Caenorhabditis elegans: one gene and its partners. The protein of the gene in region 2 interacts with the protein of the main gene of each other region in a pairwise test. Each region holds a gene or a part of one and is shown on either strand. Other genes may lie near its edges.

The links. The genes of interacting proteins can lie anywhere in the genome.
Region 1: the proteins of cdap-2 (region 2) and F09F7.5 interact in a two-hybrid assay, tested with the Caenorhabditis elegans proteins (one large-scale study listed by BioGRID).
Region 3: the proteins of cdap-2 (region 2) and C31C9.6 interact in a two-hybrid assay, tested with the Caenorhabditis elegans proteins (one large-scale study listed by BioGRID).

What each region holds. Positions count from the first base shown.
Region 1 is NC_003281.10:5,545,563-5,551,746, reverse strand, and holds F09F7.5 (CRIB domain-containing protein), read right to left. Parts: upstream 4,638-6,184; 5' UTR 4,616-4,637; coding exon 4,530-4,615; intron 3,575-4,529; coding exon 3,488-3,574; intron 3,434-3,487; coding exon 3,370-3,433; intron 3,322-3,369; coding exon 3,152-3,321; intron 3,000-3,151; coding exon 2,916-2,999; intron 2,869-2,915; coding exon 1,863-2,868; intron 1,447-1,862; coding exon 1,297-1,446; intron 739-1,296; coding exon 634-738; 3' UTR 532-633; downstream 1-531. Other genes in the region: F09F7.6 (Ferritin), read left to right, coding at 315-425; putative kinase-like protein D1044.1, read right to left, coding at 5,521-5,767, 5,909-6,021, 6,095-6,184.
Region 2 is NC_003279.8:3,327,638-3,332,252, forward strand, and holds the start of cdap-2 (SH3 domain-containing protein), read right to left. Parts: upstream 3,037-4,615; 5' UTR 2,975-3,036; coding exon 2,957-2,974; intron 2,306-2,956; coding exon 2,203-2,305; intron 1,400-2,202; coding exon 1,056-1,399; intron 445-1,055; coding exon 241-444; intron 1-240.
Region 3 is NC_003280.10:13,656,060-13,664,013, forward strand, and holds the start of C31C9.6 (WH1 domain-containing protein), read right to left. Parts: upstream 6,032-7,954; 5' UTR 6,023-6,031; coding exon 5,942-6,022; intron 5,898-5,941; coding exon 5,805-5,897; intron 5,558-5,804; coding exon 5,466-5,557; intron 5,421-5,465; coding exon 5,287-5,420; intron 5,177-5,286; coding exon 4,971-5,176; intron 4,924-4,970; coding exon 4,774-4,923; intron 4,679-4,773; coding exon 4,330-4,678; intron 4,004-4,329; coding exon 3,504-4,003; intron 3,459-3,503; coding exon 3,176-3,458; intron 980-3,175; coding exon 776-979; intron 733-775; coding exon 575-732; intron 435-574; coding exon 132-434; intron 72-131; coding exon 1-71.

The DNA.
Region 1 (6,184 bases), on a different chromosome or scaffold from region 2:
CTCAAATTTAAAAAATTGCAATAGTTAAGCCCGTTTTCGGAAAAAAATAGTTTTCAATTTCTCTGAAACGTCAAATTATAAAATTTCTCGACTACTTAGCAAAAACTATTCTGTACGCTGGACAAAATGCAAAATTCAAATGACAAAGCACTAGGATTTTGAGTTTCCAAAAGGCTGTAACTGAACATATTACTCAAAAATTGCAGTTTTACGGGGAATTTTCGAGATTGTAGATCAGTTAACAACTTAAAAAAGATAGTGTAGGCCACAAAAGATTATCCCATTCCACCCTTTAAACCCTTTTACTTTTCCAGAAAAACGTATACAACGAGGAATTTGTGACCCCTGCAAAACTCCGTTATCTCCGTGATGATCTGGAAGCCGCCGAGGAGCATCTGAAAAAGTTGCTTGAAACCTCCCATTGACGCGTTTGATCGAAACGGATTCTGTACATACCTTCCAAATTGTTATTTTTTGTGCTGTGAAGAAATGAAAATAAAATATATTGCTTTTTTCGCAAATCGAATCGGTTTTATTTGAGAAATTTATTTTTAATGGAATGGTGGTTTGGCACTGGAATGTAGAGAGACAATTGACTAGAGTTTAGTTAAGAATTTAAGTAAAACAAATAATTTAAAATCGAGTAATAATGAAATTATCGTCGTCTTCGGATTCTGAATCTGATGGGATCATTGCGGCTGCTGAAGGTGGTGGAAGCATGATGAAAGCGTCATTAATCTGAAAATAGTGGGAATTTGAATAATTTTTTGAAAATTAACAAGTGCCAGGAAATAGGACAACTACTGAAGGCTCCCCAGTTAATGATATTTGGTACAAAATCTATTTAGAAATATCTGCTAGGGTATGCAACCTGCCTCGTAGGAAATCTTAACCTATTAGCACTATTTTTGCTCATTACTTGGTTTGATCGATCGTTTGCTTAAAAATGTCTGCACGTACCTATGACAGAAAATTGTATTGAGAGCCCACTTATACATTTTGCTCAGTCTCAGAGAGAAACTTGGGTACGTGCGGACCCATGACCCACCATTCCAAAGAAAAATTTTGTCTAAAGAATTTCTCGAATTTCTTGCTTCTCTAAATCTATTTCTACTGGAAATTCGCAAGTAGTCAGCTGCTTCTTTTTGTTTTCGATCACCTTGTGATCCTATGAATGGCAGTTCCAATCAACAAAAGTACTTTCTCGGAAAAATTGGAAACTAGGGGTAATTAGCAAACTATTTCAAATTCCAATAAGCTTATCTTGGCGATTGATCTTTTATCACTACTAGTTACCTTGTCTTTTGTCGCTTCCACCCGATCTTCTTGTTCATCATTTATTTTTGTATCTCCCACCACTTGAAACTCCTCCCCAATCACGTTTTCGCCCTTTATCTCCTCTTCGACATTTTCTTCTTCTTCTTCTTTTAACGGTTCCGTTGAGACCTGCGAAGAAAAACAAATGAAGAAGAACATTGGTGATTGTTGACTTTTTGATGTTTGTATCGGTTTCATTTAAATAGATTTATATTTGTTCTAGAGGGGAGAGAATAAATTATAGAATCAGGTCAAAGGGTAGCGGAACTGATTTGCTTTCGAAAATGTGAGAATAACTGTGAAAATCGTGAGTACGACTAGATCCAAGTAATTGGAGCAAATATCGTTTAGGTTCAGGAGCACCCGTTCTTGAAACTTTTGCCCCCCCCCCCTCTCATTCAGATTCACAAATATCTATTTTATGGTGACTCATCAAATGGTCAGAAATATGATTCAAAAGTTGAAAGTAATACTTTAATTCCGTAATTCCTCTCTTAATGTTGCACCTACATAACTGATCTTGTGGATCACACAAGAAAGCTTACCGTCTTTCTGCTCCTCGGCTTTGGCACGGGCGGTACAAACTCTTCTTCAACTTCCCGATCCCTTTTCAGAACTTCCACATCATCATCCTCCCCAACCGTCGACAGAATACTTGACACAGTATCTGCATTTGATCTTGACGAGGTAGTGGAAACATCCGTGTTCCCAGATGAAGACGTCATTCTTCCGATGGACATTGGCATTGTTGCTGACTTGATCCTCTTATCATATAAGAACCTGGCAATTGCAGGAGGTACTCCACTTTCGTCACTTGAGCGGAGGTCTAGCGCATTTTGCTTTGTCAAGGCTCTTCCATTGATTAATACTGTACCAGGAGCTTCGGGAGCATCAAAGCTTGGAGCTTCATATGAGGGAGGTGGTCGGTTGGGAGGCATACTCACAGGCCGAGCGGAGAACGCAGGAATAAATCCTGGAGCTTGGAATGTTGGAGAGGAGAGGTCTGGAGGGAGGCTTGGAGCTTTTGGAGCCGGTCCTTTTTTCTTCCGAAGTCTAATTGTCTCTGGAGCTACCCCCAACTCATACTTCTCCACCAAATGCTTCATAAAAGCCCGATCTTTTTCTAGTGCAAGCGTCGGATAACCCGATTCGTCAGTACTGATTGTGGATAATTGATCCCTATCGAGATCATCCAGGTCATCCAACCAATCGTCAAGCTCATCCAAGATCTTTCTCCCTTGAACGGATGTGCTCCGAATAGTTGACATATAATTCGAGTCATCCGGCGGACTCGCCGGACTCAATATCGGTGTCTCCTCCTGATTCTTCGGGATTGCCAAAGGCCGATGCAACGGAGAAAGTGTATTGAGAGGTGGTGTACTTTTAACAATTGGAATGCAATCATCGAGACCGAAACTAAAAGCACCACCAAGATCACCCGGTCTTTCGATCACCAGAGAGTTAGGCTTCGGTGCAACGATTCGGTCGGCGGTTTGGATTTTTGGAGGTGGAGCTATGTGTGTTGAGATATTCGAAGTGTGGGAGATTGACCTGAAAATTGAAAAATTTTTAAACTTCAGGGTCCAATCAAGAAATACCGAAAAACTACAGGTTGCTCTGAGATTTCTGATGTTTCCTCCTCGTCGTCTTGGGCGTTGAAGATCAAATTCGGCTTGCTGTTCCTGAAAGTTTAATTCTCAACCAACTTTTGATTCAGTTGTCAAATTTGAAAGCGCCAGTAAGAAACTTAATTCTAAAGGAAGTACTTCTTGGAATTGAGGTAAAAAACTAATTCAAAAACTGTGTTGTTAGAAAATGTCATACAAATACTCACTGTGGAGGAGGAGTAGGGGGAGCTGGAGCCTTATAATTTTTCTTGCTCGGACGTGGTGGAGCAATATTTATGTATTGGTGGGATGTTGGTTGATTCTCGTAACCTCTGACAACTTCAACCTCTTCTTCACTTTTTGAAGCTGATGGGAAAGCATCATCTAGTCCAACTCTCTGAAAAGTTGAACTTTTTTGGAGAAAAGTAATTAAATAGTTCCCTACATCTTTTTCTTTTCTCTGCGATCGGAGTGTACTATTCGACGAGGAGGGTCTTATGTAGTAGCTGCTGAATTCTTTATTCATCCACATTGAATTCAAGTAATGCTTGTAGATCACAAACCTTTCATTAACCGTATCAATCACATTATCGCTCGTCCGAAGATTTTCAATTTCCGATGATCCCATTGGACCGACATGAGCCAAATGCCTGTAATATAAAAATTGACTATGATAGATTGTTTAAAACCTAAAACACAATGAGTAAAACTAATACGAATGTAACTAATTCGTCTCCGAATCTACTAATTGTAAGAAACTAATTCGTATGAAAATTGTAAGTTTTAGACGTATGGAGGCACGGGAGAGTACAGAGAAGCTGAGTGTCTTAACTCTCCTCCTCTCATATCTTTTTAAACAATTAAAATGGCGAATTGCGAAAAAATTGAGAATTTAAAAAATTTCAGGTAACGTGATTTGTATTATTTTATTTTATTTTTTACGACAATAGCCCATAGTGTAAGATTTAACGCTTGGTACCTATAATATATAACAATGTTTTATCAATTGTTGCTAGTCCACGTGTGATTAGGTACTACATAACAATTTTAAACTTAATATTCATAGTTGACATGTATGCTAGTTTTGCATTATTGTTTCTATCACTGATTATTTTCATGACTGAATTGTTGGCGGTTCCAGCTGTGTCAGCTAAATTACCTAGCAAAATGGTAAGTTTTGTTTCCAAGGTTTCTGATTTCTAAAACTTGGAATTTCAGTCTATGGATGTCAATATGATAATAAAAGAATGTTGTAATGAGATAAGTGTAGAGTGTTGTAAGCCTAATATTTTTGAATAAACTGTTCATGTTTCTAAATGTTCCTCATTTCTAAATGTTATATCAATTAAAAAAAGCACAATCAGCACAATCAATCAGCTATTGGCTAAATCTTGATGAAAGTTATTACACTGTAAAAATGGGTTGGTTAGAGAGTGTGGGGGAGGGGAGAGTGCAAGAACTCCGCTTCTTTCTCGGGCCTAAAACGTCGACATGTCATAATCCCGCTTGAAGCTAACCTACTAATGTTCTTCAAGAACGAATTTGCAGATACATTCCAATTCGAATGTACGGATTAACATAACATCCTCAACTTTTATTCCTTACCTGAAATCCGACGGCAGTGAGATCATAGTTTTATCCAAGTGTTTGTGCTGATTCTTCGGAGGCAGCAACGGCAAGTCGTTGGGCATTTTCCATAAACCCGGTTCCTGTCTTAAATCAAGAATAAAGTAACAAGAGGCAAAAAAAATCAATGGTCAAACCACGCAAGTTGTTGCAAAAACTGTGGAGAACAGACACCCGGAGTAACTGAGAGAGAAAGGGGAATAGAGAAATAACCGATAAAAACGTGTAAGCAGTTGGAAAAAGAGTAGTGATAAGGAATTATTGAGAAGGAGGTGATGTGTTGAAAGAATGATTCATTTGGAATTGGAAGCCAAGAAGTTTGAAGCTCCAATGACACCCGTGCTCAAGCTCCGCCCAAAGACGCTTGTAAGGAATCTTGAGTTTTGTAGCATGGCGGAATATTGAAGCGTCGTTCGATGGCTCCAAAATTTTGACCACTTTCAGGTACTGCATAAAATCAATTGAAAAATGTTAAAATTCAGATTAACATAGAAAAATCTAGCATAGAAACTACCTTTCAAATATTTCAAAAAGTGTTATCAATTTCTAGCAAATAGCAAATTGTTCTTGCTGATCTCCCATAGATTACTCAGATCAAATTGACAAGAGACGCAGCATGTTGAAGTGAAAAAAGAAAACATGTGTCGATCTGATGAGTAATCTCTTGAGGCTAAAAACCGGGTTACGGAAGGGTATTATGTATATGTATACTCTAGTGTTTGACTGCAAGTCGGACGATATTTCGCAATTTGTTTAACATTGATTTACGAAACCTTTGATGTTTTTAATGTATTACCGAAGATTTACTAGGATTATTTTTGTTTCGTAAAGAATTTAAAATGTGTTGTCATATTTGAAATAATGTTTTAAGCAACTTTGTTCATCATCAAAATTTAAAAAATTCCAAATATTAGTAGTAGTTTATTTGTTTTAATGTATAATATAAAAATCTTTAAAAAATATTCTTCTATTACATATCATCCAAAATTCCGATAGTCCGTCTCAAAATCTCCTGAGCTTTGTGTTCCCTTTCGTCAGCTCCACTTTTCAAATCCAAACTCTCATCCTTATACATTTTGTAGTAATACGACAGACTGAATAGTGACGTGGCATTCACAAAATTGAAGTGAGTTCGATAGGATTCTTCGAGTTGGGAGAAAGTGAAGGGAGCCGTGGAAAAATGAGATTTGAAGGTCGTATAGTAGTGGTTCAGGTATCTGGAAAATGGAAACTGACTCTTTGTTTTGAAATGTGTTTTATATCTCCGAACCCGATTTTCAAATCTCGGCCAAAAAGCGGGCCATTTCAATTTTTACTTCTTTCGGTTATTGAAAATGTTTAGACTTAGAAAAAGATACCTTTGAGTATTTGCTCTTCGATTTTCCACTGACAATCCAAGGCACAAAATACGAATAATATCAAAGGAGACGGGACCCTTTGACACGTGCTGGAAATCGATAAATGCCTGGATCTGAAATTATTCAATTTTATTATTAGGAGTAATTTTATATTCTATGACACGTAGTCCTCTTGGACAACTCTACCTTTCCAGTTTCATTATTCCATAGAACATTTGACGCGTTCAAATCATTATGACATATCACCAATGGCATTCCAAGTTTTTCGTTTTTCTT
Region 2 (4,615 bases):
TTAAAGTCTAAAATTTGGAAAAAAAATTAGACTTTAAACTTGAAATTTGTAGAATAAATTCCTCAAATTTTTAATTTTTTTGCTTGAAAATATATTAGTTTATTAGTTTACTTAACAATTTTAAAACCCAAAATTTTAATTTTCGCCGATTTTTTAAGGTTTTCCCATTTTATTTTCCAACTTTTTATCTAAAAATTGCAGAAATCCTGATTTTTTTTTCCGATTTCAGTGAATTTGCACCTTGTTTGTAATATTAATCAGCATATCAATCTCCTTAAGAGCCAGCTCATCATCGTGTTGGGGATTGTAGACAAATTTCACGCGAGCCATTTCTTTCGTTTTCGTAGTTTCTGCGTCTGTGCTCGCCGAGGCTGCAGAGCTCGCAAATGTGCTGCTGAATTTGGTTTCCAAGGCTTTGAGCACTGGAGCCGGGTCCGAGATTATCTGAAATTTTGATTTATTTGATTTAAGTGAAATTCTTCAGTTTCTGTATTTAAAAAATGTTTGAATAAAGTGCTGAGAAGCCATTTATGGAATTTTTTAATTGGAAAAAAACTATTTTCTTTTCAGTTTTTTAAAATTTAATTTTTCAGTTTTTTTTTGTTTTTGTCGAAGATAACTTTAATAAAAAATTGTAATGTAACAAATTTTAATTAAAAAATTTTTTCACTTCTAACCAGAAACTTACAATTAAAAGCTGAAAAAAAAGAGTTTTGGAACAAATTAAAAAAAAAATGTTTGGATATTTATATTTTTTGAATGAAAAATTAGCTGAAAATCAAAAAATAAATCGGCAAATAGGCAAATTGCCGGAACTTTTAAATTTCCGGCAAATCGGTAAAATGGCGGAATCGTAATTTCCGGCAAGTCGGCAAACCGGCAATTGCCAATTTTCCGGATTTCATCGACAAAAAATTGTTGATTTTCAATTATTTAAATTATTTGAATTTTTCCAAAAATTTGAATTTTTGCCATAAAAACTGATGTCTCAGGCACCGATATTTAAGTAAAATCTGTATTTTTGGGATTTTTCAGATTTTTTTCGCTACACGAACCGTCGACGGAGTTCTATCAATAGCTTTCGGCTCGCTTCTCATCACAACTTCACTTCCAATCGATTTTGCCGGAGTTCGAGCTGCTGAGCCCGCCGAAGTTGATGCACTAGCCGCTGGAGCAACTGCAGCAGCAGATGTGCTCGGCGTAGGCTTCAACGTCACAAAATTCGTCGGGAACATTCCGACGGCTCCAGTCGACTTGAGTTTTCCCTTACTCCAGCCATCTTCAACATCAGAGATCAGTTCGATGAGATCTCCGACGACAAAGCTTAGCTCATCGTCTTGTTTTGAGCTGTAGGCATACGTGGCCACGTATATTTGAGCTTGTGGTTGTGGAGGGGGAGCTGCAAAAAATATTTAAATTATTTTTTTGTAAATTTACACAAATTTTAATTTTTTTTTTCGAATTTTTTAGATATTTTTTTTCAGGATTTTCATGATTTTTTTTTAATTGTTAGAGCTATTTTAATATTGTCCCTCGACGAGTTTTTGAGCACCAGATCGTGAAAAAATCACGAAAATCGTGGCGGGACCCATTCGATCCAAGCCCCGCGCCTTTAAAAATGTTTGGATCTTTTTTTCAGTGTTATAATAATAATAATTGAAAACTGGAAGAAAAAAACATCTTTTTTAATTTGAAAAAAAATTAATAAAACTACAAGATTTTAGTGGAATTTAATTGGAAAAACTTTCAGATCGGCCGTTTTTTCCCCGAATTTTCTAGAGCTTTTTGAGAAATTTTCCTATTTTCTCGGACCAAAGCTCTAGAAAATTCGGAGCAAAAAAACGGCCAATCTGAACATTTTTCTAGTTAAATTCTACAAAAATCTTGTAATTTTATCTTTTTTTTCAAATTCGTCAAAAATAGTTTTTCTTCCAGTTTTCAAATATTATACATACTGAAAAAATATCCAAACATTTTTTAAAGGCGCCGGTTTTGGATTAAATGGGTCTCGCCACGATTTCCATGATTTTTTAAAGATTTGGTGCTCGAAATAACGTGATTAAATTTTAAAAATTAGAAACATTTAAAAAGAAAAATTTTCACAAATGAGAAAATCTCCGGTTTTTTTTTCATTTTTTCGACTGAAATTCTCAAATTTTTCGGTTTTTTTTTCAAAATTTCCAACTTTTTTCTAAAACAAACCTCTCCGTTCCACCTGTTGATGTACTGTAAATGGATTTCGATTTGTCATATCTCGGGAAAGTCGATTCACAATATCTCGCACATTTCCAGCGACTACTTCTGTCTGAAAATTGGCAATTTTTAGATAAAGATTTTAATCTGAAGTCTTTTATTTTTTCAAAAAATCACAATTTTCCGATTTTCTTTTGTTTTACATATGTTTTCTTTAAAAATTGCAGTTTTTACACATTTACTTGGAAAAAATAAAAAATTTTCACTTTTCCTAAAAAATCCCAAAATTTCCCATATTTTTATCCCAAAAATTGTAACTTTTTTTTCAAAAAATCATAATTTTTACAATCTGTTTTTTTAAAAAAAAATCAAAATTCTCACACTTTTTTTCCGAAAACTCTTATTTTTACCAATTGTTTTTGACAAAAAAATCGCATTTTTCTAAATCTTTTCAATCAAAAAATAACATTTTTACGTTTTTTGCCCAAAAATCTTAATTTTTACAATTTTTTTTTCCAAAAACGGAAATGTTTCAAATGTTTTTTATTTGCAAAAAAACAAAATTTTCACACTTTTTTAAAAATCTCAATACTAAAAAATCGAATTATTTTTTCTAAAAAGTCGGAATTTTTTAATTTTTTTAATCAAATAATGGCAATTTTCTCATTTTTTTTATCCAAAAAATTTGCAATTTTCATGACTTTTTCGACAATTTTCTCAATTTTCCAAAAAAAAAAAAAAAGAGATTACGAAATATACTAACTTCACCAACTTGTGCCATTTGTCCTCGATCCGCGAGTGTCCAACAAAAAAAACAGTTCAAGGCGGCTCTCGGATACAATTCTGGAAAAAATCACAATTTTTTTTAATTTTAAAATTAAATAAAGACTTTTGTGATTTTTTCAAGATTTCCAAGGTAACGTCAAAAAACCAAACAACGGCCAAAAAAAAAGGCGAAAATCGATAAGGAATTGTTTGTGCAGTGATGGTGGAAAATGTGGGGCAATAAAGTCAAAAACTTCTGTTATCAGTGGGGAGATGTGGAGAAAAATTTTGAAAAAAAACGTGGAGTGAATTTCAATTTTCACTTCTTCAATTGTGTGAGTTTCCCCCGAATGAGTCATCGCAGTGGTGTCTCCTATCGAGCGCCGCCGCGGGAAAGATCAATCACTTTTCGAACGTGTCCCCCTCCCCCACCCCCCTCTTCAATGCGTTGATGACCTGTGAACAGAAAAAAACGCGGCCAAAACAATAAAATCTCGTAAATTTATATTTTGATCGAGATGACATATTTAGGAATATATAATACGAAAATGCAAAATTCTGAGAATGCGAAAAAATTGTGAAAGTTTCGAAATTTTTTTTGAAAAAAAAAGGTGTAAAATTTCAATTTTTGAAAAGAAAAAAAAATTAAAATCTCGGTTTTTTAAACGAAAATTGAAAAAAAATCGAATTTTTTGAACTAAAAGTGTAATTTTAATTTTTAGATTGAAAACAATGTGAGAATTCCAAATTTTTGACACGCTTTCTCATTCATTATGACGGATATTACACGGTAACACGAAGTTGTGAGAATGCGTATTGCACAACATATTTGACGCTCAAAATATCTCGTAGCGAAAACTACAGTAATTCTTTAAATTACTACTGCAGCGCATGTGTCGATTTACGGGCTCGATTTTTGAAATGAATTCAAATAATTTAATTTAAGATTTAAAAATTAAGCAAAAAGTGAGAAAATAGGTAATACAAAGAAACTACTTTTTTCATGTCAAGAATCGAGATCCCGTAAATCGACACCAGTGCTACAGTAGTCATTTAAAGAATTACTGTAGTTTCCGCTACGAGATATTTTGAGCGTCAAATATGTTACGGAATACGCATTTTTACGAGTTTTGTGTTACAGTAATAACGGTCACAATAAATGATTTCCATTTTTGGAAAGGATAAGAAAATCTCGTTTTATTGGTGGAAAAATTGAATAAAAATCGATTTTCGAGACTTTTTTGTCTAAAAATCAAAATAACACTTTTTTAATCGAATTTTTCAATTTTTTCCTTCAAAAAATCAATTTTTCGCGCTTGTTTTTGATAAAAAGGACTCAAAATTTATTTTTTCGAAATATTTTTGAAATAAAACCAAAAAAAAATTTTTGGACCAAAAAATCGAACTGATTTTCGATTATTTTTTTTGAAAACCGTAAAGCTTTTGAAATTTTTGGGAAAATGCAGAAAACTGACAAAATCTCAATTTTTTAAAGTTTTTTTTTCGATTTTAACATCGCGCGAATTTTTTTGTCGACAAATTCGACAAATCGGCAAATTGCCTATTTACTGGATATTTGAATTCCGGCAATTTTCCGGTTTGCTGATTTGCCGGAAATGTTTAGAGGGATTTTTTATAAGACGGAAACACTTAAAAC
Region 3 (7,954 bases), on a different chromosome or scaffold from region 2:
TTTAAGTGATTCTGGCTGCATTCGGTAACTGGAATCTGAGTTTCAGATTTACTACTAGATTGATCCACCATCTGAAAAATGTTCATTGTGAGAATCATAAAATATGAGATGAATAGTTCGAAAAATCTTACTTCAATTAAGGGATTAATTTCATCTTGTGAAGGTGGTAATGGAGAAGAAGCAGAAATAATTTTTGAAGTGCGAGGAAGCGGTGTAGGTACTTTCATTGCTATATCCTGTGCAACTGATGTTGAGGAGTCTGATAAGCTGATATTTTTCATTCCATCTATAATTGCAGCATTTGAAACTGGTGATGATGGTGTAGAAGAAAATATTTTTTCTATTTGAACGGGAGTTTGAAAAAGTTCTTGTGGTTGCTCATTTGTGGGTTTTATAAAATATGCGATTTTGGATTTGCTATTCCCGAAGAAGCTCTGAAAATAAGCGGAAGGTGAAACAAATATAAAAATTATTATTATAAACAGAAAAACAATACAAACATATTTTTTGTCAGATTTCTGTTCAATTAAATAACAATATCGGTTGGTAGAAAAGTTGGTGGAGAATTACTTACTTCTGCTGGTAGTGGAGCAGGAAAAGGATTCAAAAAACGAGAAGGAGTTGATGAAGTGGGAAGTGAGGCTGCGAGCACTAAAGAAAGTCCAGCCGAAGTAGGAACAATTGGAGCAGGACGAGCTGGAGGACGAAGCGGAGCCTCTGCTATTGGTTTTTCTGAACAATGAGTATGATTGGGAAAACTAACATAGTTACCCACCTCTAACTCGAAAGGAAACACTTTTTCTCGGAGGTTTTGGTGGTTCTTCATTAATATCATTTTCCTCGTCATGGTCATTCTCATCAATATGAGGAAGAACATTGGAATTGTGAGTTGGAGGAGGAGTCTGCTTAGGAACAGTGTCTGGTTTTGTAGTCCAACGATAGGAGTCCCAATGAGGTGGAATTCGAGAAGTTGAGAGACCTGGAAGATTGATATTTTGAACTGTGTATTTTTAAAGAAGGTGTATTTAGCGTGAATGGGGGCTTTAAAATACCAAGAAAATGATATTAATAATTTTTAAATTTAGAAATACGACAAAGAAAATAAAATAACTATTTACAGTAAACGGAAATGTTTTTACCAAATCTCCCTATTTGAACTTCGTTCAAAAGAGAAGCCACGCCCACTTTTGAACCAATCAGTGGCTTCTACTCAGCACATCTGATTGGTTCAAAAGTGCAAGGAGACAATCATTAATTTGTTTTGCAGTTCACATTTTGGAATTAAATCAAAGAAAGAACTTATCCTAAATTGAAAATGGGACTTTATGAGTTGGATTTCTTATTCTGCCAAGCAGCCTCTAATAAATGCCGAGTGTACAGACTCCGCCCCTTTTTCGCGTTTTTTCGCGTTTTTTTTGGCTTGCGAAAAAATGTCACACTACGTTTTCATTAATAACTCCAGAGCCGTTTGACTGAATTTTATAATATTTGACAGCTTACTAGAAATATTTTGCCCCACGGTGGAGCAAAAAACTGCACAAAGTTTGGAGCAAAACTGAGCTCAGGGCGGCTTTCCCCAGTTTGAAAAAAATTTTTGTTGTTCTTTTTACCCCCAAAAAACCATGTTTTAATTGAATTAAAATTCGGGTTTTGCTCGGTTTTGTTCCAAATTTATGTGCAAGATACTACTCAGAGAGGTGGATTTTTTGAAAGAAAGTTTGAGTTCATAAGTGCAAAAGGCAAAAAGTTGTGATAAAACAAAAGGCCAAAAAATGCCATTTTGCCAAAAAAAAATTTTTTTCCGAAAAAGTAGTTTTTCGTCTTTATCTCAAGTTCTACTTCATCTTTTTCGATACTTTTTTTTCTACCCCACGTAAAAAAATACGCTGAACACGATTTTCAACTCAGAATTAAGAAAAGTTCTATGAGTCGGCCGAGCAAGACGAATAAGTGCCACATTTTGCACACTTTTCTATTTTCGTGAATCTACTTTTTCAATCATAACTCGGTCAGTTTTCAAGTTTTCTTAGTTTTCTAAAAATTGACGTGTAGGTCTCATCAAGACGCATCGAGACATATAAAATTTGTAAAAAGTTCAGTGGGAAAATTTTTCAAGAATAAAATAATTCAAAAATTTAGTACTGGGGGGAGTGGTTTCCTGGGTCTCCTGAACATTTTTTCCACTAAAGTTTTGCGGAATGTATTTTTGATTCATAGTTTTTGATTTTATTTAATGGAAGATGAAGTTTCGTCGCATTAGCAATGCTCTGCCAAGAGATATTATTTTTTTTAATTTTCAGGCCAAAACTTGTTTTTTTTTCTATACATCTGTCTGTGTACAAGATATAGCCCTCAACTGTACGTCTCCCTTTCGGGAATTTTATGATGAGTACAATGCTGAAATAAAATTTTCAAAAATTAGGTTTCCCGCTGACTTATCAGTGATAAACGGTTTTCGAACGTCTTTCCCCAAATAGTCATAATTGAAGAAAGCGGAATCGAAAGACGACTCCCTCCAGAAATTTACCTTCCTTACTTCCAGTTTGAGCTCTCCCGCATGGCCGAGTGGTTAGTGCGTATGTCTGCGGAAATTTTGGTAGTGGGTTCAATTCTACCAGCTGACAAACTTTTTTTGTTTTTTTTGAGTATTCGGGATTCGAATATTATATAGAAATACTCGATTTTATACAAAATATAGGTACGTCTCCCCCCATATAAATCCTCCTCAAACTTCAATCAATCACAACTCAGCTTTAACTGAGTCATGGGGTGCGTCTGTTTTTGGTCAAACCGAACTCAAAAATCAAGAAGACATTGACTCACTGAAAATTTCACGAACCCTCTAACAGGTTCGAGGCGAAGCCGAGAACCTACGCCCGGCAAGGGGACTCGCCTTACACCCCCTACAACTGGCGGGCCCGCAGGGCCCGCTAGTCTTTGTTATTATCGAATTTCAGACTGTTTTTGGTGATTCAAAGACAAACCCGTGATCGCGTTTAAATAGGGTTTATGAAGAAAATGTATTTTTGATGTACATGAAGAGACCTTGATTTGCATAAAAATACAATTTAATTGCAATTTTTTGTCTGAATCTAGTTTTTGTTTGAATACGAATTTTACATGGCTGAAGTCAAAATTAAACACACAAAATGTCGCTCTCAGTCAATCAACTTACTTCCTCGAACTCGCACTGAAGCGCTTCTATTCAGCAGCACTGATGGATCCTTGATGGGATCCGCAGAAAAAGTGTGACTATGTTTGAATGATGTTGCTGCGGTTACTGTAGAGTATTCAGATTCTTCCGAATCACTTGGATTTATTCCGGATCTTCTTGCATCGAGGAAGTTCTGAATCTGATCGACAATTGTTCCAGACGTCGGTGATGGGACAGATTGCCTCGTGTCAGGTGTATCACTGACTTTACGCAAGACTTGTGAACGATCGATTGAACGGATTTGCTGAAAAAAGATTCATAGAAAAATATTGATTAAGTCGAAACTTACATCCATTAGACTTCTTCGATCAGAATTAGATTCTGGAACAGCAGTTAATCTAACTGTTGGTGGCCCAGAGATTTCTTGTTCTAGAGCCGGTGGTGGAGGTGGAGGTGGAGGTACAGAAGAAGGCGTTGCAATCGGTGGAAGTGGTGGAGGTGGTGGTGGAGATTTACTAACTTCGGCAGGTTGCGGAGAAGGAGAAGGATTTGGAATACGTGATGGAGGAGGAGGAGCAGGTTTTGGAGTGGTAGGTGGAGTTGTCGAAGAGTACGATGTTCCAGTCGAAATAGGGAATTTAATAGTAGGCGGAGCCGAAGGAGGGGGCGGTGGAGCCACTCGTGTTGGTGTTTTAGGTTCCACTAGTTTGAACTCAGCAAACTGATCAACTTGATGAGAATGTGAAGGTGCATTTGGAGTTGGAGGAGGAGTCTGCTTTGGTACAGTGTCTGGTTTTGTAGCCCAACGATAGGAGTCACGATGAGTTGGAATTCGAGGAGTTGAGAGACCTGGAAATAAACAGTATATGAAGAATGTCCGAATAATAATAATAAAAGTTAAAAAAACACCACTCCTGGAAACATCTGACAATCTTTGACCCCCTTGAGTCAAGTTCTTTTATCAAAATTTACTTTCCAAAATTGCAACTGTTTGGTAAAAGCTTGAAAACATATTTGAGAGTTATTCAGCAGATGTTGCAATGAAGCTGCCTACTGAGAAGCTCTACAAACACTGGCACCTATCTTTTTTTTTTTGAAAACTGAAGCCCATCTCTTAATCAGTACCAAACAGAAATCAACTTTCCTTCCTTACTAAATACATTCAATATACCTACCTCCTCTAGTCATCTGATCTTCTGGATTTCTTGAAGCACCTCTACTTGGCAACTCTGTCGGTGTATCGTCCACTTCAATTTTCTCAATTTGATAAGTTTGTTCAACGTGTTCTTGTTCGAATTTATAAATGTTTTGAGGCTGTCGCTGATTTGTAGATCCATAAGTATCTTTTCTCGGAGTTTCCCAGTCCGTAGTCTTGATGGGATCGATCGCAGCAAAAGTGTGACTATGTTTGAATGATGTTGCTGCGGTTACTGTCCAATCGGGATTCAATGGATCACCAGTGATGACTGGTACAATCGGTTGAGAAACATCCTCGACTTTTGGTTTGTTACGTCCAAAAAAGCTCTGAAAAAAGAAATAAATCGGTCTTAGATTTTCAAATTTTGGACAACAATGTTTTGGAGTCTTATTTGTCGACTTTTGTCAATTTTCGGACTCACTTTACTTGTTTTGACTTTATCTTTATGTTTGTCCTTAACCCCTTTCACAGTTTGAGACTCTTTTTTCACCATCAATGATTGTCTAATATGATCTTCATTTCTTACAATCAATTGCTTCACAATTTCCTCTTCTTCTTCTGGATTATTCACCTGAAATTTCAACGTAGTCTTGGCAATAGAGGTTTGGAAAACTATACATTCAATCTACTCCTAACTTGCATATACAAATCTTCTTGTACATCTGTCAACTTCAAACCATCAACATGCCGAAAATCTATTGGTGCTCCAAATTCAACTTGTTTTCTTGGTTCCTTGTGGGATTTGAATGGATTATGATAGAAACTACTTTTCTTCTTCTTCTTTCCCTCCAATGCTGGCTGCTTTGCTTTATCGGTACTTCTCGCTGAAATTCAAGTTCCAAGTTTCAATTTGAAAATGTAGCAAGTGGAGTTACTTTCCTTTCCTATATTACTCTTTTTCAAATTCGATTTATTCAAGTAATAATATACTCACTTTGTCGTTTACAAACACTATTGTGAAAGTTCTCACATTCCTTTGAGTCGTAAAAGTTCAATCCAATATATCTGGATTCTGCCTCAAAAACGAGTAATCTCGCATGTTCCTGTATTGTTTCAAACCTTTTGTCTCTATAATCATAGTGTTAGTTGAAATCAAATTATATTCAAGATTACCTAATAAGAAAATCAAATTGAATTGTTGGTTCCCAATCTGGATCTGCAGATGGTTCCATTACTATTATCCGGTAATATCGCTCCGTACTGTTCTGAAAAAGAACTTAAAATTTCGAAAATAAGACCAAAAGATTTAGAGTTTTAGCCAAGAAAAGTTATAAGTGCGTTTTCAGAAAACCACAATAACTACGAAAAATGTTCGAAACATTTTATTTTAATTTTCCAAATCACAATGGAAAAACCATTACGACACGTCCCTCGAATGTTTATTGAAAGAGTCACATGTTTCGGAAATCAATTTTCAAAAATCCAACTTAAGAAAACTGTGTCACTACTCACTTTCAGGAACAATGCCACAGCGGCTCCTTCATCTGGTTTCCTCCATTGTCCATTCTCAGCAACGAGAAATTGACAAATTCCAGATGAAAGTATCTGAAATACCAGTTTTTGTAATATTATAACTATTTAATTAGAACCTTATCACTTGCTGATATTCCTCTGAGAACACTTTCCTTTTCATTAATTTCCAAGAAATCACTCAATTCAGCTGTAATCATTGTCTATCTGAAATTATTTAAAAAATAACTTGGCAAAAAATCTAGCTTTCAAAATTCAATCAATCAAAATTTGTTTCCAATATTTACTCCTTATCACCTCGTGTACCCCCTTTTCCCTTTTTGCGTCATCATATCAGTTTTCCGCTCCGCAAACTTCCATATTTGCCGATTTGTGGGAATGTGTGGAAATAAGGAAAAAATAAACAGTTTATTTGTATGCACATTTTTTATTCTTGAATGATTTGTAATGTAAGAATGGAAAATTAGTGTAGATGACCTCAGTTGAGTAAATTTTTGAGCAGTTTCAGTAGACATAGTTTCAGTAGACATACTTTTTTTGTTTGAAAATACATTTTGAACTTCTCGATAATCTCAAAACACTGATGAAGTTATGAAAGTGCACACCGTCGTTGCATTCCTAAAGCTCTTCCCAGCTGATCAAGTGTGTAATAAAGTTTGACAACAAAATCCAATACTGCGGAAAAAACAAAAACAATGCCTGTATCTCTAGTAATCACTTTGCGCGGAAATATTAAACTGAACTCAGTTTTCCCGTTTTAATATGAATCATTAAAACAAAATTAATGTATAAAAAATGTAGAAAAAAATTTTTTTTTTTGGTCGACTTCCAAAATTATGAGTAGCAAAAACTGAGTAATTGTCACTTTTTGACAGTATATAAAAAATTTCAAAATTTTTTTTGAAGAGTGTTATTATGATACTCGGTCATTTCGGCACAATTGGAGTAGTTTTTAACAGTTTCCCCACTGGCGCTACTCCACCTTTACTATGGATCCCGATCCCCAAAATGTTTAATTTTTCCAGCTTCTCGAAAGAACATCCACTTTGAACGAAGGCTCGTGCACTGGGAGAATTTCTAATATTCGTGATATTGTCAAAGTATTCGCCCCAGGGTTTGAAGGCAGTGATGATGACTTGGACAAGTTGGAAATAGAATTATTCAATTATAAATTGAGATTCCTTGCTACTGGAAGTACTCGGAACGATGGTGTTGTGATGGTGTTTTTAAAAATAATTTTTAAATTTTTTTAAATAATTTTTTTATTTATCGCAAATAATATTATTACATCGAATAAAGCATGCAACTTTGCAAAAAAAAATTATTTTGGTTTCTCCCGATTCCTAGAACAAGTATTCCTGAGACTCTCTCGCTTACACAGTATGCTTGTTTTCATTTTTTTTTCTACCAATCGAAAAAAATATTTGCAATGTTCATTTCTGATTTCTGAGGGTTCTGGTGTGTTCCTACTTGAGTTCAACCCGATTTGAACCCAGAAACCATCTCCAACTTTCTCATGTTCTTATGATCTTTGAAGGCCTGCAGCAGGAGGCAGATACATATAAAAGAGAAAAAAGAAAAGATTTTCATAAATATGGTCGTTCTTTTTGGGTTCATTCAGTTCACTTAGCACGTTGCGTGTTGATTATTTTCGGTCTTATGCTATTTATGTGGTGATGGTGGTGGTTTGATTTGGGTACTGTACCAACAGAGAACGATTTTCAAAAAATTTTGAATTTGTTGCTACATTTTTCGCTATTTGTTACTACAGCCGTACCTCCTAGACAAGTTTTCTTACCCCAAAATACCAGCTTACAGTAACCTGACTACAGTACCCAAACTACAGTAATTATTAAAAAATACTTTTGGTTACAGTAATATCCCTCACAGCAGTATTAAAGGTACATAACCCCCCCCCCCCCCTTGGAACTTTAACTAGAGTGACCGTAACCCGCAAAAGCTCAACTACAGTACTCTTGCTCACACTTAGGCTACTGCGCCTTTAACTACAGTATCCAAACGCCAATCTGCCATACTCTGCCTACAGTATCCTTTCAAATTACCGTACCGTTACTAGGAAGTAGATTGAAACTACTGTACTCTTAACTACATCACCATTTCCCACTAACTAC